Linked DNA regions of Ovis aries. The protein of the gene in region 1 interacts with the protein of each later gene in a pairwise test. Links are inferred from orthologs where the notes say so. Each region holds a gene or a part of one and is shown in the gene's direction. Other genes may lie near its edges.

Region 1 (5,364 bases):
CCTCTCTTGTACCCTCTCCAGGTTTCTCTTATGTTAGTGTGTGTTAGAACTCGGTTTCTTGTTTAAAAATGCAGTCCCTAGGCCCTACTCTTCCCCGAATCCTGACACATGGGCATTTCTGATTCTGGAGGTTTCAGGAGAGGTTGCAGGACTCCTTGTTTTTAAGAAACTCTGAAGGAGATCGTAAAATAACTTATGCAGAAAGAGACCATGTCAGAAATATTGCTAAATGATAACACTTTCCCATGTCACTTCCTCAGATATTCTAAAGTCCGTTTCCCTTTAGATTTGCCTGCAAGAGTAGTGAGAATGCAAGATGTTCGAAGGGGGCTGGGGAGAAGCCTTTTGTTAAGGGGGGTATTTGATGGGGGGGGGGGGGTCCTGCTTCCTGGAAGCAAGGCTGCCTTTTCAAGCATTCCTTATCAACCTAAGAGGGAGGTCTGGAACCCTGTGGAATGGTTTGGGGTCTCTGGTCTGTTGTGTGTGAGAACTGTGACTACAATTGTTTCCTGAAACAGACCCTGGAACAAAGCTGTTCTCTAGGGGGAGGGAAGGGGGACCTCCTCCAGGGCCTCCCTTCTTGGGGGTCTCTCCCAGACTGGCTGGAGCCAGTCCTCCTAATCCTGCAGTAATCATTCCCAGCCGCTGGCTGGTCTAGGCCTCATCCAGGGTCTATAACGTTAAACGTCAGCCATGCCTTCCAGATGCACACTACCAGGTCAGTCCTACCTGTAAGGATGTGGGTTCCACATTCTGGTCTTCTGTGCTCAGGAAATCTTTCAGGGATTTCCAAAAGGAGACTTTTATGAGGTCTATGAATTGGGGATAGAGGGATAGATACACACTTGCCTGTCTTGCCCCACCCTTCTAGCAGACAGCCTACACAGCAAACCAGAATGGTAGGGAGGAGGGGAAGCTAATGATCCCCCAGCCCCACCCCTACACACACACACACATTCCATTACACACCTGTCTTAAACCCCTCACGTGAAAATTAGCCCAAAGTATTTCAAGAGCCCCTGGAGCCCAAAAAGTAGCAGTTAATCCCTGGGTCCTATGTAAGGTCCCTAGGAGTCACTGTTTCTATACCCCACCTAAGAGGATTGAGGCAAACTGCCTGGGCTAGAACCAGTACTCGGCCTGTGCCCAACTGGAATCTTCCTGAGAGCTGAGGGAGAGCCTGGCCCAGTAGAATCCAGCTGGATCTGCAGGCTTGTCCTCAGATTCTCTAACCCCCTTGCCTGTAAGGGGGCAGCTTTGGTCCTCCATCCCTTCACTGGGGATGGGTCTCAGAAGAGACTCAACTCAAAGGGCTCCTGCTGCCCAAGTACTCAGGCTGCAGATATGACCCAAATACCTGTAGACATCACGGTCTGCCCTCCCACAGGCTGCCTTGGGTGCCATGGAGGGAGGGACCCTTTGGTGCAATACAGGTCAACTTCCTGTTTGTGCCTGTGGGTGGAACTTTATAAGTCTAAGAGAAGCCTGACTACACTCTGGTGGGGGGCGGGGGGCAAAACTGGCAAGCCTGCTCACCGGGCAGACACCTACTCCAGGGGAGGGGGAGGTGTTGGTTCTGCTTGAGCAGCCCCAACCTCAGAGGTGTGTGAGGAAGGGTGGGGTCTGTTTCGGTGAAATCCGAGCCTTCTTCGTCTGCTTCCCAGGGGTTTTCCCTGTGTCTGGGGAGTGGGCTGAGAGTGGACCAGGCTGGGCTCCCTACAGACCAGAGGATAGTGGCAGTAAAGCCCTATAGCCAACTTGGTTAGGGCAGCCAGGTAGCTTAGCTTAGCTGTGGCGCCGCTGGCCCCTTCCTAGATCGAAAGCCAGTTCCAGAAGCTGCGAAGTCAGAAGTCCGAGGGGCAGTCTTGGGCCACCGTCGCAACACTGCTTGGCAGGGTACCAGATCTGCTGCTGAGGGGGTGCTGGGCAGACCACTCCCCTGCCTTGGTCGGGGGCGCGGCCTCAGCCGCCCCGCCCCCTCCACCAAGCCCGGGCCGAGCGCGCTGGGGAGCCGGCGGATCTGCGACCAGGAGGTGCCGGCCCTGGGTCAGGAGCCCAGCGGGAGCTGGAACGGCGGTTAAGGTAGCGCTGGGTGAGTGAGTGGGGGCGCCGCGGCGGTGTAGGAACTCTCGCCTCCTGCACACCCCCGCCCCGGAGTGAAATTTCCCGATCCCGGGAAGCCGGGGATTGGGGTGAAGAGACGGGTCCTCAGTCCAGGGGCCGCGGGCGAAGAGTCTGAACAGGGAACCTACACGAAAACTCACACCGACGGGCGCACACACGCGTGCACACAGACCCACGCGCGTACTGGAGACACCTGAATACACGTGCACTGCGGGGCGGACGCGCCTAGTGAGTTTCGCTTGCTGTTGGCGGATCAGCGCCGCTGGCCCGCGCGGACCCCCAGCGGGCAGGGTGTGCTGCCGTCGCGTACTTGGTGAGGGTGGGAGAAAAGGGCCTCCCAGTGACCGCGGACGGGGGCGGGCCAGGTGGGACGCCTCCGGAGGTTCCGGCTTCCTTGCTGCCCGCAGGTGAAGACTAAGACGTAAACAGGCGTTGAGCACGTGATCGCTTCGCAGACCCGTGGGCTGTACGGGGGGAGCCTCGCGGCGGGAACCTCCCTCCGCAGTACTAAGCGAGTTTGAAAGATACATTGCCGGGCTGTATTCCATTCTCCCCTTGGAGGGGATAAGCCCTTCCCCAGGAATGGGAGCACAACGCCCCCCGGAGTTGGGGTAGCGAAGGAGGACAACAGACTGTTGGACTGAGAGGGTTGGTTACCTGGGCTCCTCACCTTCCTTCTCCGGAACATGTTGCCCCCATTCCTGAAGATACCCGAGAGGGGGGCAATTCTGGCAGTGTACAGCAGCCTCCGCCGGGACCTCCAGCCCCGGGGAGCATCTGCGCGAACGCCTGTGGGTCCCCTTTCTTACTACACTCCTCCTTGCGGCACTGGGAGCTCCTCCCCTCAAAGTAGGAGCAGAAAGCCCACTCACGCAAGAGTAGGAGTCCCCCTTCCCCAGAGAATGCATGACCGTACACATCCTCTCTATACCAGAGTGGGCCCGTCTCCCTCTGGTAGAAGGGAGCACGGCCCCCTCCCCCCAGCGAATGAGAGTGGGCAGCGGCCCTCGGCCTCCCTCTCCACCACCCTCCCTACCCCTCCACACACGCTGAGCCCAGCTGCTGCCTGAGCTTCTGGGCAGGCTGCCAGAAAGGGGAGGAGGCTCCTGGTGCCCCAGGAGGCTGGGATCAGGGCAAGGCCAGAAGAGGGGGTCTCTATGGGGGTGGGGCTCAGTCTGTACTTGTGAGGCAAGAGGGTCTAGGGTGAGCCTGAGGGTGGCTGGGCTATGTTTCCCTTTCCAGGGAAAAAGAAAGAAAACAACTCTTTCCATGGAGCTAAAAATAGAACTGAGAGCCGGCCAGGCTGCGGCCTGGAAGGGGGGGGCGGGGCGGGGGGAATGCTCCTTCCTGGGGCAGAGGAGCTCTGGCAGGCCTTAGTTCTGGGGGGCGGGGTTAGGGGGCAGGAGGCTGTCCTTGCCCAGGGATGCGGGCATCAGCTGACCTGGTTAGGTCACAGAAACCCCTATGGGAAAGTCTGTGTGATAAAATGTTTGTGAAATACGACGTGTATGTTTAAAAAGTTGTCTTTGTGACTGTGAAAAAGACTGTCATAGTGTGAAAAAAGCTTGGGAGGCAAGTATAGTCAAGACTGTGACTGGGTGCAAAGGAACTTGAGCTGTGAAAGCTTGTGCACAACTAGCCGTGATACCAAGTGTGTATCTCTGAGTTGGCCTGATTATGGCAAGAAGGGACATGGATCCTTCTGATGGACCAGACAGACTGAGTGATTGTGTCTGAGACTGAGTGTGGGAAAGGTCGTGTGGGTGTTTAGATTGTGTTGTTTGCCAGAGGGTGAGAGTATTCTTGACCCTGAGAAGACAGTGGAACGTTGTCTGCTGTGAGGCTGGCGTAAGCTTGGCCTGTAGGTTTGGACCAGCTCCCCCACTGGGGTGACTTTTGGGGGCCCAGGGGACGTCTCTCTCTTGAGCATTTACCTCTTAGCAAATGAGTCTGAGGGAAGGTTGGGGAGCAAAGAACCGCGCTCGAGGAAGGCCGGGGCTCTCCCGAGAGGGAGTACAGCACTGGGGAGAAGGGTAGGGGCCCCCCAAGTTTGGGGGTGGCTGTGTTCTCCGAACGGGCCGCCAGGTGGCGCCGCCTCCGCAAATCCTAGCGTGCCTTCTGCAAGCGGCTGGGGGTGGGGCAGGCACCCACCAAGCGTCGGCCCCCGACTTGTGCCAGGACGCAGGGCCAAGACTTGGGGGTTAGGTGACCCCCAACCTCCTTCTCTGGACTCTGAAGCCGGAGAGTGTGCCTAGGGGTGAGGCATCGACTAGAGGAGCGGAGGGGGAAGGGCGGCTGCCGCGGCGCCTGGCCCTTTGTGCTCGAACAATGACCAGCTGCCGCTGGCCCCGGGGCCCAAGTAAGGGTAAAGGGTGACCCGCCACCGCCTAGTCCTGAACCGACCGAGCCCCAGACACACAGCCATCGCTCCTCGGAGGGAGGGAATCTGAGTCCTGCTGCGTAGCTCCAGCGTGCGCCCCGCCGGACACGCGTGACGCCGGGTGCCTGCGCGTGTCCGCGCCCCGGGGGCGGGGTCACCCCTCGGACCCTCCCCCGCGCTGCACCGCCCACTTGGGCCGGGCGGGGGCCAGGCCGGGCTGGGGGCGCCGCGGAGGCGGGGCCGGGTCGGACCGGGCCGCTCCGAGTGGCGGCGCGCGGCAGGCTGGAGCCGCGCGGCGCGCCTGTGGAGCGCTGGGGGCGGCCCGGGGCTGAGCATGGAGCGGCGCGGTGGAGGTGAGGGGGGGGCCGGGGCTGGGAGGCGACCTGGGGGCGCCCCCAACTTCTGCGCGGCGGAGGTCCCGTGGGGAGGCGGCATTCCACAGCTGCCCCCACTTTCTGGAAGAGGCGGAAGGAGGGGGGTGAACTCCGGAGGGCGGATTGGGGGCTCCCGGCTTCCTGTCTTGTAATGGAAACTCGTGATCTCAGACTTGATCCCGCTGGATGGTCCTGGAGTTTGGTGAGGGGGAGACTTTCCCGAACTCCTCTGCCCCCGAAACAGGTCTGTGGGAAACTCGGACCTCGGCCAGACCTCCCTCGGGCCCCGGCTGCATCCAGCCCTCAACCGCCCCCGGCCCACCGAGCCGGGCAGTGTGTGCTGTGCCAGAGCGGTTTCCCAAGGATGTTGGGGAGTGCGAGGGGTTCCCGTCTCACAGCCACAAACGCATTTCTCAAAATGGAGCCTCCACTTGCCCCTCCTTTTCTCTCGGGCTCCAAGAGCGGGAGCCAGACTGGCTGGGCCTG
Region 2 (4,649 bases), on another chromosome or scaffold:
GTTGTGGCATTTGGGATCTTTAGTTTTGTGGCATGTGGGATCCAGTTCCCTGACCAGGGGTAAAACCTGGGTCCCCTGCCTTGGGAGTGCGGAGTCTCAGCCACTGGTCCACCAAAGAAGTCCTGAGCAAGACTTTTTGAGAAAGTGTTTCCTGCCCCCAGGAGCCCCCACGAACTCTTAGACCACTCACCAGTGAGTTCAAACGAGTCGGGGCTCCTGTGGAGCCTGAGAACGGAGACACAAGGTGAGAGGGAATCCCCCTGATGAAGCAGCACTCTCCGCCCCCACACCTCCTCTTAAAACTCTGGCTGCTTGGGGAGCTAAGCTTGTCTCTGCTCTCGTTCCCAGGAGCTGTTGCTGCAGAGGATTAGCTGTTCGGCCTGGTGAGCCAAAGGGGCGGGGGCTCCCAGAGTTTGACCTGGATTCGAGGGGAAGGAAACCCACTCCCCTACACACAGCCTGGAACCTGCCACCCCAGCCACTCCCACCTCTGCTCTGTCCAGTCCAGCCCGGCCGGGGAGAGGCACAGCCCTTCCCTTGGTGGGGGCCCTGAGGACGCTGCCGCCTGGCCTGGCACTGCTTGCGTTTCTGTCCCTCACTGCTGTCTCCCTGTCCCTTGGATCCAAGCAGGTTCTAACTTGCTCTGATAGAAATAACATAAAGCCGTAAGCATCTTGTTAGGGCTGCTGGGTGGGACGTGACTTCCTGAATCTGTCTTCCGTTGAGATAGTCAGGTGGCTGTTGGTTCTCAAAGGCCTTCGGTTGAAATTTTAGCTCCAAATCAAGTGGAACCCACCATTCCTTTTAAGACAGGAAGTCAAACACAATATTGTAAAACAATTATCCTCTAATTTAAAAAAGTACTAAACTTTTTGATGGAAATTAAAAAAAAAAAAAAAGATAAGAAGCAACTCCAGTGTCTCAGGGCGGCAGGGGGATATTCCTCTGAAACCCAGGCCATCACGTTTCAAGATTATTTGGCTTGTGTGACCCAGTTAAATAGCCCTGAGTCCTGTGGGCCTCTGTGGACACCTCACCTTCTGTCCCACGGCTGGCTTGGCTCAGCGAAGCCTGCCCACCTGCGAGGACAGAGGCTCCCGCTTTCCTGATGAGAAGAAAGTGTATCAGAAGGAAGCAGCAACTGGTTGCTGAGCTGTGGAAAATAATTAAACTGGGGAAGAATAAAAACACTTCTTTAAAAAACCAGGTTAGGTATGAATGTGCAGGGCGTGGCCCCTCTGTATAATTAGCTGCTCTGCTGGCTCTGGGAGCCGCCTGCCTCTCCTGCCCGCCCGTTGTGTCAGGCCCTCCTCTTGGCTCCCGGTAGGTGTGTCTCGGGCTCCGTGGCTGCCTGTCTCACTCTTGCAGAGACGCCGCTGCCCGAGAGGTCACCCACCTGAACCCCCAGCGCGTTCAAAGACCAGCCAGGTGAGCCGCGATGGAAGCTGCAGACGCCTCCAGGAGCAACGGGGCCAGCCCTGAAGTCAGGGATGTCCGCAGCCCCCTGAGCCCCAGTGGCAGCCTGGAGAATGGGGTCAAAGCTGAAGACAAAGAGGCTAAGACTGCCAATGGGCACGGCGGGGAGGTGGCCGAGGGCAAGGGCGCAGGCGGCGCCCTGAAGCCGGGCGAAGGCAGGAGCTCCCTGTTCTCCGGCAGCGAGTGGCGGCGGCCCATTATCCAGTTTGTCGAGTCGGTGGATGACAAGGGCTCCAGCTACTTCAGCATGGACTCTGGGGAAGGCAGGAGGTCGCCCTACGCCGGGCTCCAGCTGGGGGCTGCCAAGAAGCCGCCTGTCTCCTTTGCCGAGAAGGGGGAGCCGCGCAGGTCTATGTTCTCGGAGCCTCGGAAGCCCTCGGTGTCCATCCTGGAGCCCGGAGATGTCCGGCGGAACAGCTACCCCCGGGGCGACTCCAGCACCCTCCTGCGCTCCAAGTCGGGCTCCGAGGAGGTCCTGTGCGACTCGTGCATCGGCAACAAGCAGAAGGCCGTCAAGTCCTGCCTGGTGTGCCAGGCCTCCTTCTGCGAGCTGCACCTCAAGCCCCACCTGGAGGGCGCCGCCTTCCGCGACCACCAGCTGCTCGAGCCCATCCGGGACTTCGAGGCCCGCAAGTGCCCCCTGCACGGCAAGACTATGGAGCTCTTCTGCCAGACCGACCAGACCTGTATCTGCTACCTCTGCATGTTCCAGGAGCACAAGAACCACAGCACCGTGACCGTGGAAGAGGCCAAGGCCGAGAAGGAGGTAAGAGCTGGCCGCCCTCGCAGTGCCCTCCCACCGCACCTGCTCCACGGCCGCTCCCAGGGTCTGGGGCTTACCTCTCTGCTGTTCCTGGTTCTTTCAGAAAACAGTCCTTTCCCCTCCTACCCCCAGACTGGGAGTCAGAGATGGTTCCCCTATCCTCTAAGGCCTCAGGAGTCAAGTCATCTCCTAAATGAGCAAAGAGGGGCTCAGCAAAGATGGGGGGCTTGGCCAAGGTCATAGGACAAGTTCAAGTCAGGCCAGGAGATCAGCATTCCTTCCTGGGCTCTCTGCCTGGCTGGGTGCTTCTTCCTTCCTTTCTACTTCGGTGCTAAGTCACTCAGTCGTGTCCAACTCTTTGTGACTCCATGGACTGTAGCCCACCAGGCTCCTCTATCCATGGAATTATCCAGGCAAGAATACTGGAGTGGGTTGCCATTTCCTTCTCCAGGGGATCTTCCCCACGCAAGAGTCAAACCCAGTCTTCTGCCTTGCAGGCAGAATCTTTACTATCAGAGCCACTGGGAAAGCCACCTCTTTCTACTTAATGGAGAGAGAATTCTTCCTAGTTGAGGAGGACTGGCTCGTGGGGATAAGTCATGGGTAAGGAGGAGGGAATTTGGGGACCACGTCAAGGCCCTTTCTCCCCTGACCTCGGAGTTGGTCTCTGTAGGCAGTGGCTCCTTCTTGTTCTGTCTGATCCCCTAGCCAGTCTTGACACTCCCAGCAGCCTCCTTTATCCTTCCCTCAGCTGGACGCTCAGTGCTTTGTGTGTGTGGCCGTTGCCTGTAGGTGGACACTCGTGGCGGTTGGAGTCGGGGGGAGGGGTGTACATGTGTGTGCGTGTGTGTGTTTTCTGTGCACGTGGGTGCTTATGTCTGTGTATGGATGCTTGCATGTGACTGTCTATGTGGCATGTGAGTGTGTTCGCATGTGTTCTGTGTGCGTGATTCTGCCTGTGCTTCTGCGGGGAGGAGCAGAGGCGTGTGGAGGCTTGTGAATGTGGTACGCCTTACTCCTGGAGAGGATGTGCTGGGATAAGGGCTCGTCTGTGGCTGTACAGATACTGGGACTCCTCCCTCTACAACAACACAGCCCCCTGATGTGGTGCGTCCTCCAGCTGGGGTCAGCCATGCTCATTGTCAAGGCAGGGGACTCTGCTTTCTGCACCCCACAGAATGGGGCAGCACAGGCCCCCCTCTGTGCCCAGCCCTCCTGACCTGAAGTCTGTGGGTCACTCTTTCCTATCCATACTCCTGGGCAGGAGAGACGAGTCAGAGATGACAAAAGGCTCAAAGAGCCTTTTCAGGAGCCTCATTTAGCCCAGGAAAGAAAGGTGGTCCTAGTCTCCCTAACTCCCTGACCCCAGCCTGGCTTCAGGCTTCAGACAGGGAGATGGAGCTGGAGCAGGGGCCATGGATCTCCTCCAGGGTCTCACTTAGGGAATCAAAACAGATTGCAGGTAATTATCCTCAACCACCACAACCAAGAAATTGCAGAGCCCCAGGCTGGGTTTTAGGAGACGCAGCTCCAGTTCTAGTTTTTCCTCGAACCAGCTCTAAGACAGTGGACAAGTCCCTTATGTTCTCTCAGCCTTGGTTTCTCTTCACATGAAACTAAGGGACTGGACTAGATTGGAAGTTTTCAAATGACCCCCTGGAGCCTGAAGATTCTTAGGAATATCTCTGAGACCTCAGGGATGAGGAGGGGGGCAAACTGACGCCCAGAAGGCAGGGCTGCAGGCTCCTATCGCTACTGCAAGCAGCTGTGCCATGCTGGCGCTCAGTCATGTCTGAATCTTTGCAACCCTCTGTAAGCAGACTGCCAGGCTCTTCTGTCCATGGGATTTTCCAGCACCTACCCACTCCAGTAGTGTTGCCTGGAGAATCCCATGGAAGCAGAGCCTGGTGGGCTACAGTCCATGGGGTCACAGAAGAGTTGGACACGACTTAGTGACTGAACAGCAACAACTCTTATTTATCTGTTATATGTGTAGGGCTTGGTTCCAAATTTTATTTGAAACCAGGGTATCTCCACTTAAGAAAAGCCTGAGTGCCCCAGAGGACAGGACAGTCTTGGGCAGTTTTCTCTGGCAACACCTGGGACTTGGTGTTCATGCTCTAGGGCTCGTGATGTAGGTCAAGAGGCAGAGCTCAGACGCACAGACCAGTCTGGGGTGCATCCGCCTAGTTACACAGCAGCGGCTGTAAGTAAACATCAACTTGCAGAGGACAGAATGCTAGGCTGGATGGAGAATGAGCAACCTTGCCATCTCCTCTCCACCTTGCATGGGAACACAGACCCAGAGGAAGGAAGGGACATGTCCAGGCTCAGTGCTTAAGGAAGAAGCCCCCTGAGTCCTCTTCCAGTGTTTGAGAGCAACTGGGGGAAGGGGGATGGGATTCAGGAG
Region 3 (4,834 bases), on another chromosome or scaffold:
TCCTACGATGATAAGATTTGTCATTTTCTTCTTGTAGATCTGTCCATTTCTGCTCTATATATTTTGAGGCTATATTATTAGATATCTGCAAATTTATGTATATATAACTGAATCACTTTGCTGTACATAAACTAACACAACATTGTAAATCAACTATTTTTCAGTAAAAACAGTTTAAAAGATAACTGCAAATTTAGAATATTGCTCACGAGTGGAAGCTTTTTTGCTCTTCTACATACACATACAATATGTCCTCCACACTTACTGCTTCTTTTCCACTCTCTTCTAATGTTCTATTTTCAGTGTTTCAGCATGCTGATTTGGGGTCGGGGTCAAATCACAAGAGGGTTACGTGCAGCCACAGAACTCGCTGCATGCAAACGCCTGGACGTCCCTTCTGTGGTCATTTGCAGCGTCCATACCTCATGGGCTTCCAACTCTAGCTTTGGCTAAGAATCCAGCCGGTGTCTGTTCCAGTGGTCAAAGCAAATCCTCAGCCAAAACAAAGAGCAGCCTGCAGAAAGGTGAGGGAGTAGGGTGTTTCGCAAGTGTTTACATTCCTGATGGAAGAAATACTTGGTTCAGACTTCAGAGAAGGGGTCTGGATATTGCGCGTTGCGTACCCTAACTTTGTGGTGGTGACAGCAGGTTGTAGGGCCAGGAGTGGGGGGTGGCTGGGGCCTCAGCCTCAGGAAGTAGGGGTTTGGCTGACACTGCACCACGAAGCGACTTAGCATCATCAGCAGCAGCACCACCACCACGCCTGATATTTTAAGGCTAGGCTTCTTTTACAGGCGCTTGGTGTAGCGGCAAGGCGTCATCTGAAGCGCCCAAATCCCAAGTGGGAGACGTTGTTGGGGGTGAGGTGGAGATGAGGCTTGTTTGTGGCTACTGGTGGGCGTTTACACCTTCCGATCCCCACCACTATAAAGCGGAGGAACCCAAGCAGCAAACGTTCGGGTCACACACACCTGCACTCTCAGTCACTGGTGGGTGGACCAGGCTCCACCTTCCTCCAGATTGGTCGACTTCCGTTAGCTTTCAAGTCAGGGTAGAAAGTAACTCACGGCTTCCCATTCTCCGGCTCGCTGGAGAGCCATGTTAGGTCGCGGGATGCAAACGTTACCATTGTCCCGAGACCGCGACACGATAACACGCCCTGCTTTCTTCTGCCGCCGCCACCTCCTCCAAACATATTATTTCAATGAATAAAAAGCCCCACAGCACAAATCGTTTCATTAGTGTAATGTGAGAAGTCTGCATTTAGGGGGTGAAATGCGAAGAAGAGGGACCAGGTGCCCTATTCCCCCGACCAATCCTCTAAACCAGCAAAGACTCAATACTGACTCCCACTATCCAAGGGGCCCCGCGGCGGGCGCCGGTTTTAAGTGATTTTTGGCCCCTCGCGGCCCCTGTAGCGTCCCTAGTTACCGGGCCCCTAGTAACCACCACCCTAAGCAAAGAGCAATCGGGCGCCTGCGGCCACGCCGGCTTCCCCGCCCCGGGCCAGCGCGGGCGCTCAGGCCTCGGCGGCGCGGTGATGGCTGCTTCGCACCGAGCGGCGAAGTTGGCGGCCAGAAGTCTCCAAACCCCGGTCAATCCCAACACCGGAGCGCGGGTCGCCCAGTACGAACGCAAAGACCCTTTGAATTCCCTGTCGGCGGCGGCGGCGGCCATGGAGGAAGAGGAGGAAGAAGAAGAAGAGAAAGAGGCGGCGGCACGGCTGGCGCGGGCGCCGGTAATGCAGGGGAGGGCAGTGGGGTGGGGCTGGGCGCCGGGTGCAATTGGAGGCTGATCGGCGACCCCCGGTGGTGAGGCGCGGGCTGGGAAATGCGAACCCTGTCCTGACCCGTACAGGTGAGCCTGGCCCACCAAGTCCTCTGGGTCCTCACGGAAAATGCTCGAAACCGAGGCGTTGAAAAGTCTTTTAACCAAAGAGGTTGTTGTAAAAATTTCTTGGAGGGCATTTACGTTACGCTATTTCTAATGAAAAGTACAGAAATTTATTCTTATGCTCCAGCAACTGTTGGGAGTAGGTATTTTCTTTTCTTTTCTTTTTTTTTCTTTTTCCTTTCAACTCGAGGAAAACTGTGCTGTCCTACAGAGAATAATCCAAAAAACGCAAGTGAATCAGCTGTGTTGTCAGGTGTGTTTTGTTGTCACTTCAATGTCTTGGTTATTAGTGCGTCTTAATACAATACATGAGAGATGATGGTTAAAACCAGCAGGAGTTTAGTGGGGAGATCAGAAACAGAGTTAAGCCTCCAGAGAAGCAAATTACTGAGGCTCCAGTGTTGCCACACGGCTCTTCAGAGTGAGGAGAAACAGCTTTTTCACAGATCGATTTTCAGTGTCGAGTGTTTTGTGAACACCTGTCTGCCAGGTAGGGGGCCAAGTCTGCCATCTGCTCTATTCCCTTAAAAGATGAGAACTTTGAATTTTAACCAGCAATCTGCAGGTATAAACCTTCTTAACCCCAGGTAAAGATTCTTTTGTTATTTTTAATATTTATTTATTTGGCTGTGCTGAGACTCAGTTGCCTCCATGCAACCTTTGTGTGGATTCTTTAGTTGTGGCATGCAGAATCTACTTCCCTGACCAGGGATGGAACCCAAGGCCCTTGCATTGGGAGTGCAGAGTCTTAACCAGCAGAGAAGTCCCCCCAAATTCTTAATACTGTTTGCTCAAAGCATCTTAGGTTAAAAACATGTAGTCTAGTGAAAGTCACTCAGTCATGTCCAACTCTTTGCAACCCCCATGGACTATACAGTCCATGGAATTCTCCAGGCCAGAATACTGGAGTGGACAGCCTTTCCCTTCTCCAGGGGATCTTGTGGTCTAAGGCTATTAGAAATCACTGGATATTTTGGAATTCTAATTTCTTTAATCTGCACTAGAAATGGTAATGAGAAAATCTGTAGTAACACCTTTTATGGGCAGTATTTTACCAACAGATAAACTGCTTGAGGTTATCCAGAGTAAAGCAGATTCAAAGACCCTGAACTTCAACCAGAATGAGTGACCTACAACCAAATTCATTCATGATAAAGCTTCAAATTTCAATACCCAATGAAGGAGGTGGACTGATGTTGAAAAATGATTTGAATGAAGAGAAGAATTTGGAGTCCTGGGTTAGGATCTGTTCATTTGCTAGTTAATATTAAGATGTAACTTCTTTCAGTTTGTTTCCTTATCTATAAAAGAGCTCTAAAATAACTGTCTTTCTTTTCTCACTGGGGTATTATGAGAACGAAATAAGAGCATATGTCATAGCTAAAAGACAGTTTGTATAAATTAGTAATAATAATAACAGCTGCCAGTGGGGCTGTTATTTGAACACCTATCCAAAAGAGAACAGGAGATTAAGTTCTCTTCTGGCTTGCTGTAGTGGAAAAGTCAGTCATTTCTGTGGTTGCAAGTATACTTCCAGAGTACCCTGTAAAATTGCAAATTTGTATTAGAAATATTACCTTAGGAGAGATCAGTTTATCTAATAAGCTAGTTTCTAAGGGACAGTGTCTCACTAAAAAAGAAAAAAGGAAGCTAAGTTTAACGCTATTCTGAGACCACAGTACTTAAAGGAACCAAAAGGAAATCTGGATCAGCTGCCACTGTAGTAGTGGTAAAGAACCCCCTGCCTGCCAGTGCAAGAGATGTAAGAGACGTGGATTTGATCCCTGAGTCAGGAAGATCCCTTGAAGAAGGGAATGGAACCCATTCCAGTATCCTCGCCAGGAAAATCCCATGGACAGAGGAGCCTGGCAGGCTACAGTCCATAGGGTCGAAGAGTCTGACACGACTGAAGTGACTTAGCGTGCAGCACATAGCAGTAGACCTGATGGAGACACTGGGGTGGGCAGACAAAGCACTGGAAAGGCAAGAAAGAAAGTGCAGCAGACAAGCTTTACCTTCCTCACAGTTTGGCTTGATATCTCACCTTGATTTTTAAACGCTAGTTTCTCTCAACTTTGTCGTCTATAAAATGGAGTTAACTCAGCTTACCATAGCCATCACACAAAATTGATTATGTAGAACTAACTGTCATAGTTCGGTTCAGTTGCTCAGTCATGTCTGACTCTTTCCAACCCATGGACTGCAGCGCACCAGGCCTCCCTGACCATCACCAACTCCCGTAGTCTACCCAAACTCATGTCCATTGAGTTGGTGATGCCATCCAACCATCCCATCCTCTGTCATCCCCTTCTCCCCCCACCTTCAATCTTTCCCAGCATCAGGGTCTTTTCAAGTAAGTCAGTTCTTCACATCAGGTGGCCAGAGTATTGGAATTTCAACATCAGTCCTTCCAATGAACACTCAGGACTGATCTCCTCTAGGTTGGACTGGTTGGATCTCCTTGCAGTCCAAGGAACTTTCAAAAGTCTTCACCAACACCACAGTTCAAAAGCATAAATTCTTCGGCACTCGGCTTTCTTTATAGTCCAATTCTCACATCCATACATGACTACTGGAAAAACCATAGTCTTGACTAGATGGACCTTTGTTGGCTAAGTAGTGTCTCTGCTTTTTAATATGCTGTCTAGGTTGGTCATAACTTTCCTTCCAAGGAGTAAGCGTCTTTTAATTTCTTGGCGGCAGTCACCATCTACAGTGATTTTGGAGCCCCAAAATAAAGTCTGCCACTGTTTCCACTGTTTCCCCATCTACTGTCATAGTAGGCCCCTTTAAATCCTTTGGCTTGCCAAAGGCACTTCTCCCAAGCCTCCATGGCTCCATATACACCCCTTGCAGGACTCTGTGCCCATATAAGGGCATTAAGGCATATTTTTTGAATCTAGCCTCAGTTGGAGATATCAGTTCACAGGTCTTGCTTTGT
Region 4 (4,755 bases), on another chromosome or scaffold:
AAGGGAAGGTTGAAGGAGAAACTGGAGTCAGATAAATGGAGAGGGATCTGGAACTCATGGGGTGCAAGTCTGTTCACGGGGCGGGGCAGAATTTAGAAAGGCATGGCGACAAGTATAAAGCCTGGAGGGACGGTTGGGGGCTGTTTGTGCAAGGACTTCAAACGCCAAGGTAAGGACTTTGGGTTGTATCCTCCTTAACTGTATGTTGAGCGCCAGTTCACCATTCAGCCTGTCTGTGCAATTCTCACAGGAAACCCATGGGAAGGTGGCCTTATTCTCCCCATTTTGCAGCTAAGCACACGACAGACTTTTTGAACAGGTGAACCACGGGAGAAAATTCCTTTAAATCCTGTGTATATTCAATAGTTAGTGCTCAGTCTCTGTCTTTGGGACCCCATGGTCTGGAGCCCATCAGGCTCCTCTGTCCGTGGAATTCTCCAGGCAAGAATACTGGGGTGGGTTGCTATTTCCTTCTCCAGGGGATCTTCCCGACTCAGGGATCGAACCTGCGCCTTCCGCGTCTCCTGCACTGCAGGCGGACTCGTGTATATTCAGTAACAGCAACTAACTGTGCCCTAACAACAACTAGGTGACAAAAAATTGCACAAGTAGGGCAGGTGCAGAACCCCGACGTCGGTACGGTGTAGGTGTAGTGTTATTCACGGTCGCCTCTTTCGGCGGCAAGCCGAGCTCCAGCATCTCTAAAAGCCAGAGGTCGACCCCTCAGCCTGCCCCGTGTCGCCCGCTTCGTGCCATTTCCGCAGGTCTCGGGTGGGGAAGGGGAGGCCCAGGACCCAGCTTGCTGAACGAGGAAACATCCAGACGCAGACTCCATGAACTACCCCGTTTCTAGCCAAGATTGCTGGCCCTGAAGCTTCCCTGTGCAGAAACTGCTCAACATGCTACTGAAAAGGGGTTTCAGAGGCCGCCATTTCTCTCTGGCCATTCCCAAGCCCATATCGTTGCGGCCCTATATTGCCCATGGACCTCCGCAACTCAGTCTTTCCCCTTCTTTTGTGCAGGTTAGGCAAAGCCTTGCTGTCCCTCACTCCGACAACAACTTAAAATCAAATCTAGGAAGTAAAAACGCCGCCGCCCCCGGGGATGGGGGTGGGGCAGGGGGTTAGGGGTGGGGGAGGGGAGGAGGCCACCGCCCCGCCCCCGCCCCTCGGCTCCTCCAACGCCTCGGAACTACCAATCCCAGCGTGCCCCGGGGCGGCGCGGGCGCAGGGGCGCGTGCGCGGCGGGCAGCCGTTGGCTGGAGCAGCAGTTGGGCCGGTCGCGGTGCTGGGCGGTCTGCGGGCGCTGGCAAATCGGGCCCAGGATGTAGAGTTGGCGGTGCCTGACGGCGCGTCTGACGCGGAGCTGGGTGGGGTAGAGAGTAGGGGGCGGTAGTCAGGGGTGGTGGGAGAAGGAGGAGGCGGCGGCGGTGAATCTTTTATAAATGGCGCCGAAGCAGGACCCGAAGCCTAAATTCCAGGAGGGTGAGTTTGATCCCCTGGGGACAAAGCATCTAACGGCCCGGAGAGGGAGGCGGTCTCGGGACGGTTGAGATTTGGGGACTGGGGATGGCGAGGGCCGTGTCCCCAGGCGGCGGCGGGCAGGGCTTTGTGCGGAGAAAGCGCATTGCGGCGAGGTTTTTCTGTGCTTCGTGAGGATAAAAACACTTTGGGAGGCGAAAGCGTTAGGCAGGCGTTAGAAGGCGAGAGGGAGCCGTTGCCTCGTGGCACAGCCTTGGTGCTGTGTTTGTTGTCGTTGAGAGGAAGAGGGCGCGGAGAAAGTAGCCTATTGTAGGGAGGCGGCGGGCGCGCCATGGCGGCCGTTAGGGGAAGTGATGTGGCGTGGGGGAGGGGAGGCGGCGGCGGCCGTTTCGGGCTCCCGTCCGCGTGGGCGTCCGAGGGTTGGCGCTCCGCGGCGACCTCCAGCCGCGAGCGGATAGCTCGCGGTGGAGCCGCGGAGCCGCGGCTGGAGGGGGTTGGCTTCGCTTCTCGGGGCGGGAGAACTGCGTTGTAAGATGGCCGCTGCAAGATGGCGGGCCCATCATGGCCGCCGGCGCCTGGATCCACGGCTCGCGGCCGCAGACGCCGCTTTAGGGCAGAGGAGCGCCCCCTTCTTCCCCCGCCGCAGATCGGGAACCGGTTTTTCGGCGCTGGCCCCGGGGATGTGGGTGGGGACAGGAGGGAAAAGCGCGAGCGTTCACTCGGCTTTGTGTCGCCCGAAGGCATCCCTTTGCTCTCGGAAAAGCGGAGTGTTGGTGTCCTATGGGAACGTGAACGCGCTCTGGCTGCGCGGTGGCTTGTAAAGCAGTAATGAAAAACTGCTTTAATGCGGTGTTACTACCTCATTTATGTGAAGTCCCGTTGTCTTGATGTCAGCCTTTTAAGTACGGCAGTGGTTTGGTTAATTGCAATAATTGATTAACAGTGATTTGAAAGTTGAGTTTTTATTGTCTCTGATCAACGTGAAGGCTGACTGTAGAGAGCCTGATTTCCAGAGGAAGACAGCTCTGTAATTTTCACTATTACTGCATCTGTTAATTTATATAGTGGAGGTTTAACAGTAAACTGAAGTGGATATAAAATTATGTAAGGCAAGCAAGAACACTTTAAAATGCTCATTCACATTATTGTGGTTGTACGTGTTAGATACCACGGATGTCGAGACGTCTGCAAAAAATTGTAGGGATGTTCAAACTTTGATATGCGTTAGAATTACTTTGAGTCATACACACAAAATCCAAGCGTATTGTAACAATGGAATATTTAAAAGATTGCCGCGGGTGTTTTCCCTGTAACTGGCTCTTAATACCTGCTTTCTCTCACTCTGAGAAGCTACGTGACGACTACTGTGAATTGCTTGCATTGCTTTTAAAAAATCAGATGTTTTAGAGCAAGGATTCTTGATCTAGGGTGTTTATAATTCAGAACACCCCTTGTACTTGGACAGGAAAGAGTTTTTTTTCGATTTTCTAACTAAAATTAAATCTACAGTTATGACTGTAGATTTCCTCCCCCACAGAAAAGCAAAACAAGACCCTCCCACAGTAGTAGTAGCTGTAATGTTTTCACATCCCAGCATTAAAGTTGCAGAAGATACATTCAGATGTATGCTTTTCGTTGTTTCAGAATTGTGGTAGTTTCCTGGATCAGCAGCTAAATGTTTATTGTATCAATTAAGGAGCTCATATAATACCATAACACATGATGTTTTAAGTGTTTTTATAACTGTCTCAATATAGTTCGTTTCTTTTGTAGTACGGTTTTACATGTTTGTAGAAACATTCTGAGAAAAGGCCCAAAGACTTAACCGGACTGAAGGGTCCACTGCACAAAAAAAATTTATCCTCACTGTAGGACATCAAAGGTAAACGACACAGACTTGGAACAGTTAAGGATGGCTTTCTGGAGGAAGTGCTTTAGTTCTAAACTGGAAAGGATGGTAGAGTGAGGGAGGATCCATATGCTGCTGTAGCAGTGAATTGGAGAAGAGGGCGGCAGAGGATGAGTTGGTTAGATAGCATCACAGAGGTAAGTGGACATGAATTTGCGCAAACTCTGGGAGATAGTGAGATAGTGAAGAACAGGGAAGCCTGACGGTGCTGCAGTCCATGGGGTCGCAAAGAGTCAGACACGACCGAGCGACTGAACAGCAAAAGGAGCCAATGTAGCGCTATGGTTTTGAAAGCTACCTGAGTCTTTGCACTTTGCAGACGTGTTTTCTACTCCTGTGTCAAAGTTGGGTTGTATAACCATCTTTTAAGAAATTATTATTTTGGGGATTCCCAGGTGACCCTAGTGATAGAGAATCCATCTGCCAGTGGAGGAGAAGGGGAGAGCTGAGGGTTCTCTGCGTGGGTAGAGATGCGCCCCTGGAGAAGGAAAGGCTCCACTCCAGTGTGTTTGTGGAAAATCTCCATGGACAGAGGAGCCTGGTGGGTTACAGTCCATGGGATTGCAAAGAGTTGGACAAGACTGAGTTATTTAGAAGAGAATATCTTGTAAGGAGAAAGGAATATTCTGTAGGAACTAGCAGAATTATATTAAAACACTGCAGAAGAATTGAGCTAATGTGACGGTAAAAATACGAATGATGGGAAAGTTTTTTTCCGATTCTCTTTTAAACTTGAAAATTTCTGTTGTTAAATAATGGTGCAGCATATGTTACAAGCATTTTTTCAGCACAGTGACTGTTCTGCACTGCACTTGGTTCTTCCACTTGAAGTGTTAAAGCAAAAAGTAAAGAAAACTATTGGGCATCTAACCCGTGTGGTGGGGGGTAGGGTGGGGAGGGGAAGACCTTTTGGCTTGTCAGGAGGGTGGGTGGCTGATGCTGGAATTTGAGTAGTGTTCCTAGTAAGAAAACCAATGAGAGGATGAGGAATTGGAATCTCATCACTGTTGAATTTGACAGCATTGAGCAAAATTAGCTTTACATTTTGAATACTATTAAGGATTAAGGATGGAAAAGTTCAGAAAAAGTGAGACAGTGGTTTGCTCCTTCCCCAATTAACAGTCTTTCCACTTCCAGGAGAAATTAGGCACTTGTTTTGCTGGGTCATATTCCTCAGCTTAATGTATATTTTTTTCAGCGAGATATTAGGGATAGGTAGCTAGAATGGAGGTCAAAGGGCCTTAGCCTCAGTGTGGTTGTCTTTGGTGGCAGCAACCGAAACGAGGGAGACAGTGGTAAGGCTGTTGTCAGGGAGCCTTTAAAGAAAGACTAAAATTAGGCGCACTGGTCTCCCATCTTTGGTGC

The links. The genes of interacting proteins can lie anywhere in the genome.
Region 2: the proteins of LZTS2 (region 1) and TRIM29 interact in binary tests that used the Homo sapiens proteins (3 or more experiments, as listed by UniProt). The two-hybrid records come from large-scale screens. The link is inferred for Ovis aries from reciprocal best matches to the Homo sapiens genes LZTS2 and TRIM29.
Region 3: the proteins of LZTS2 (region 1) and FAM161A interact in binary tests that used the Homo sapiens proteins (3 or more experiments, as listed by UniProt). The two-hybrid records come from large-scale screens. The link is inferred for Ovis aries from reciprocal best matches to the Homo sapiens genes LZTS2 and FAM161A.
Region 4: the proteins of LZTS2 (region 1) and MORF4L1 interact in binary tests that used the Homo sapiens proteins (3 or more experiments, as listed by UniProt). The two-hybrid records come from large-scale screens. The link is inferred for Ovis aries from reciprocal best matches to the Homo sapiens genes LZTS2 and MORF4L1.

What each region holds. Positions count from the first base shown.
Region 1 is NC_056075.1:21,594,803-21,600,166, forward strand, and holds the start of LZTS2 (leucine zipper putative tumor suppressor 2), read left to right. Parts: upstream 1-1,982; 5' UTR 1,983-2,082; exon of another isoform or gene 2,083-2,352; intron 2,353-2,575; exon of another isoform or gene 2,576-4,381; intron 4,382-4,756; exon of another isoform or gene 4,757-4,857; intron 4,858-4,945; exon of another isoform or gene 4,946-5,122; intron 5,123-5,364. UniProt on the Homo sapiens protein: Negative regulator of katanin-mediated microtubule severing and release from the centrosome. Required for central spindle formation and the completion of cytokinesis.
Region 2 is NC_056068.1:30,424,921-30,429,569, reverse strand, and holds the start of TRIM29 (tripartite motif-containing protein 29), read left to right. Parts: upstream 1-1,270; 5' UTR 1,271-1,438; coding exon 1,439-2,242; intron 2,243-4,649.
Region 3 is NC_056056.1:46,300,783-46,305,616, forward strand, and holds the start of FAM161A (protein FAM161A), read left to right. Parts: upstream 1-1,455; 5' UTR 1,456-1,540; coding exon 1,541-1,738; exon of another isoform or gene 1,739-1,745; intron 1,746-4,834. UniProt on the Homo sapiens protein: Involved in ciliogenesis.
Region 4 is NC_056071.1:22,937,586-22,942,340, forward strand, and holds the start of MORF4L1 (mortality factor 4-like protein 1), read left to right. Parts: upstream 1-1,376; 5' UTR 1,377-1,444; coding exon 1,445-1,484; intron 1,485-4,755. UniProt on the Homo sapiens protein: Component of the NuA4 histone acetyltransferase (HAT) complex which is involved in transcriptional activation of select genes principally by acetylation of nucleosomal histones H4 and H2A.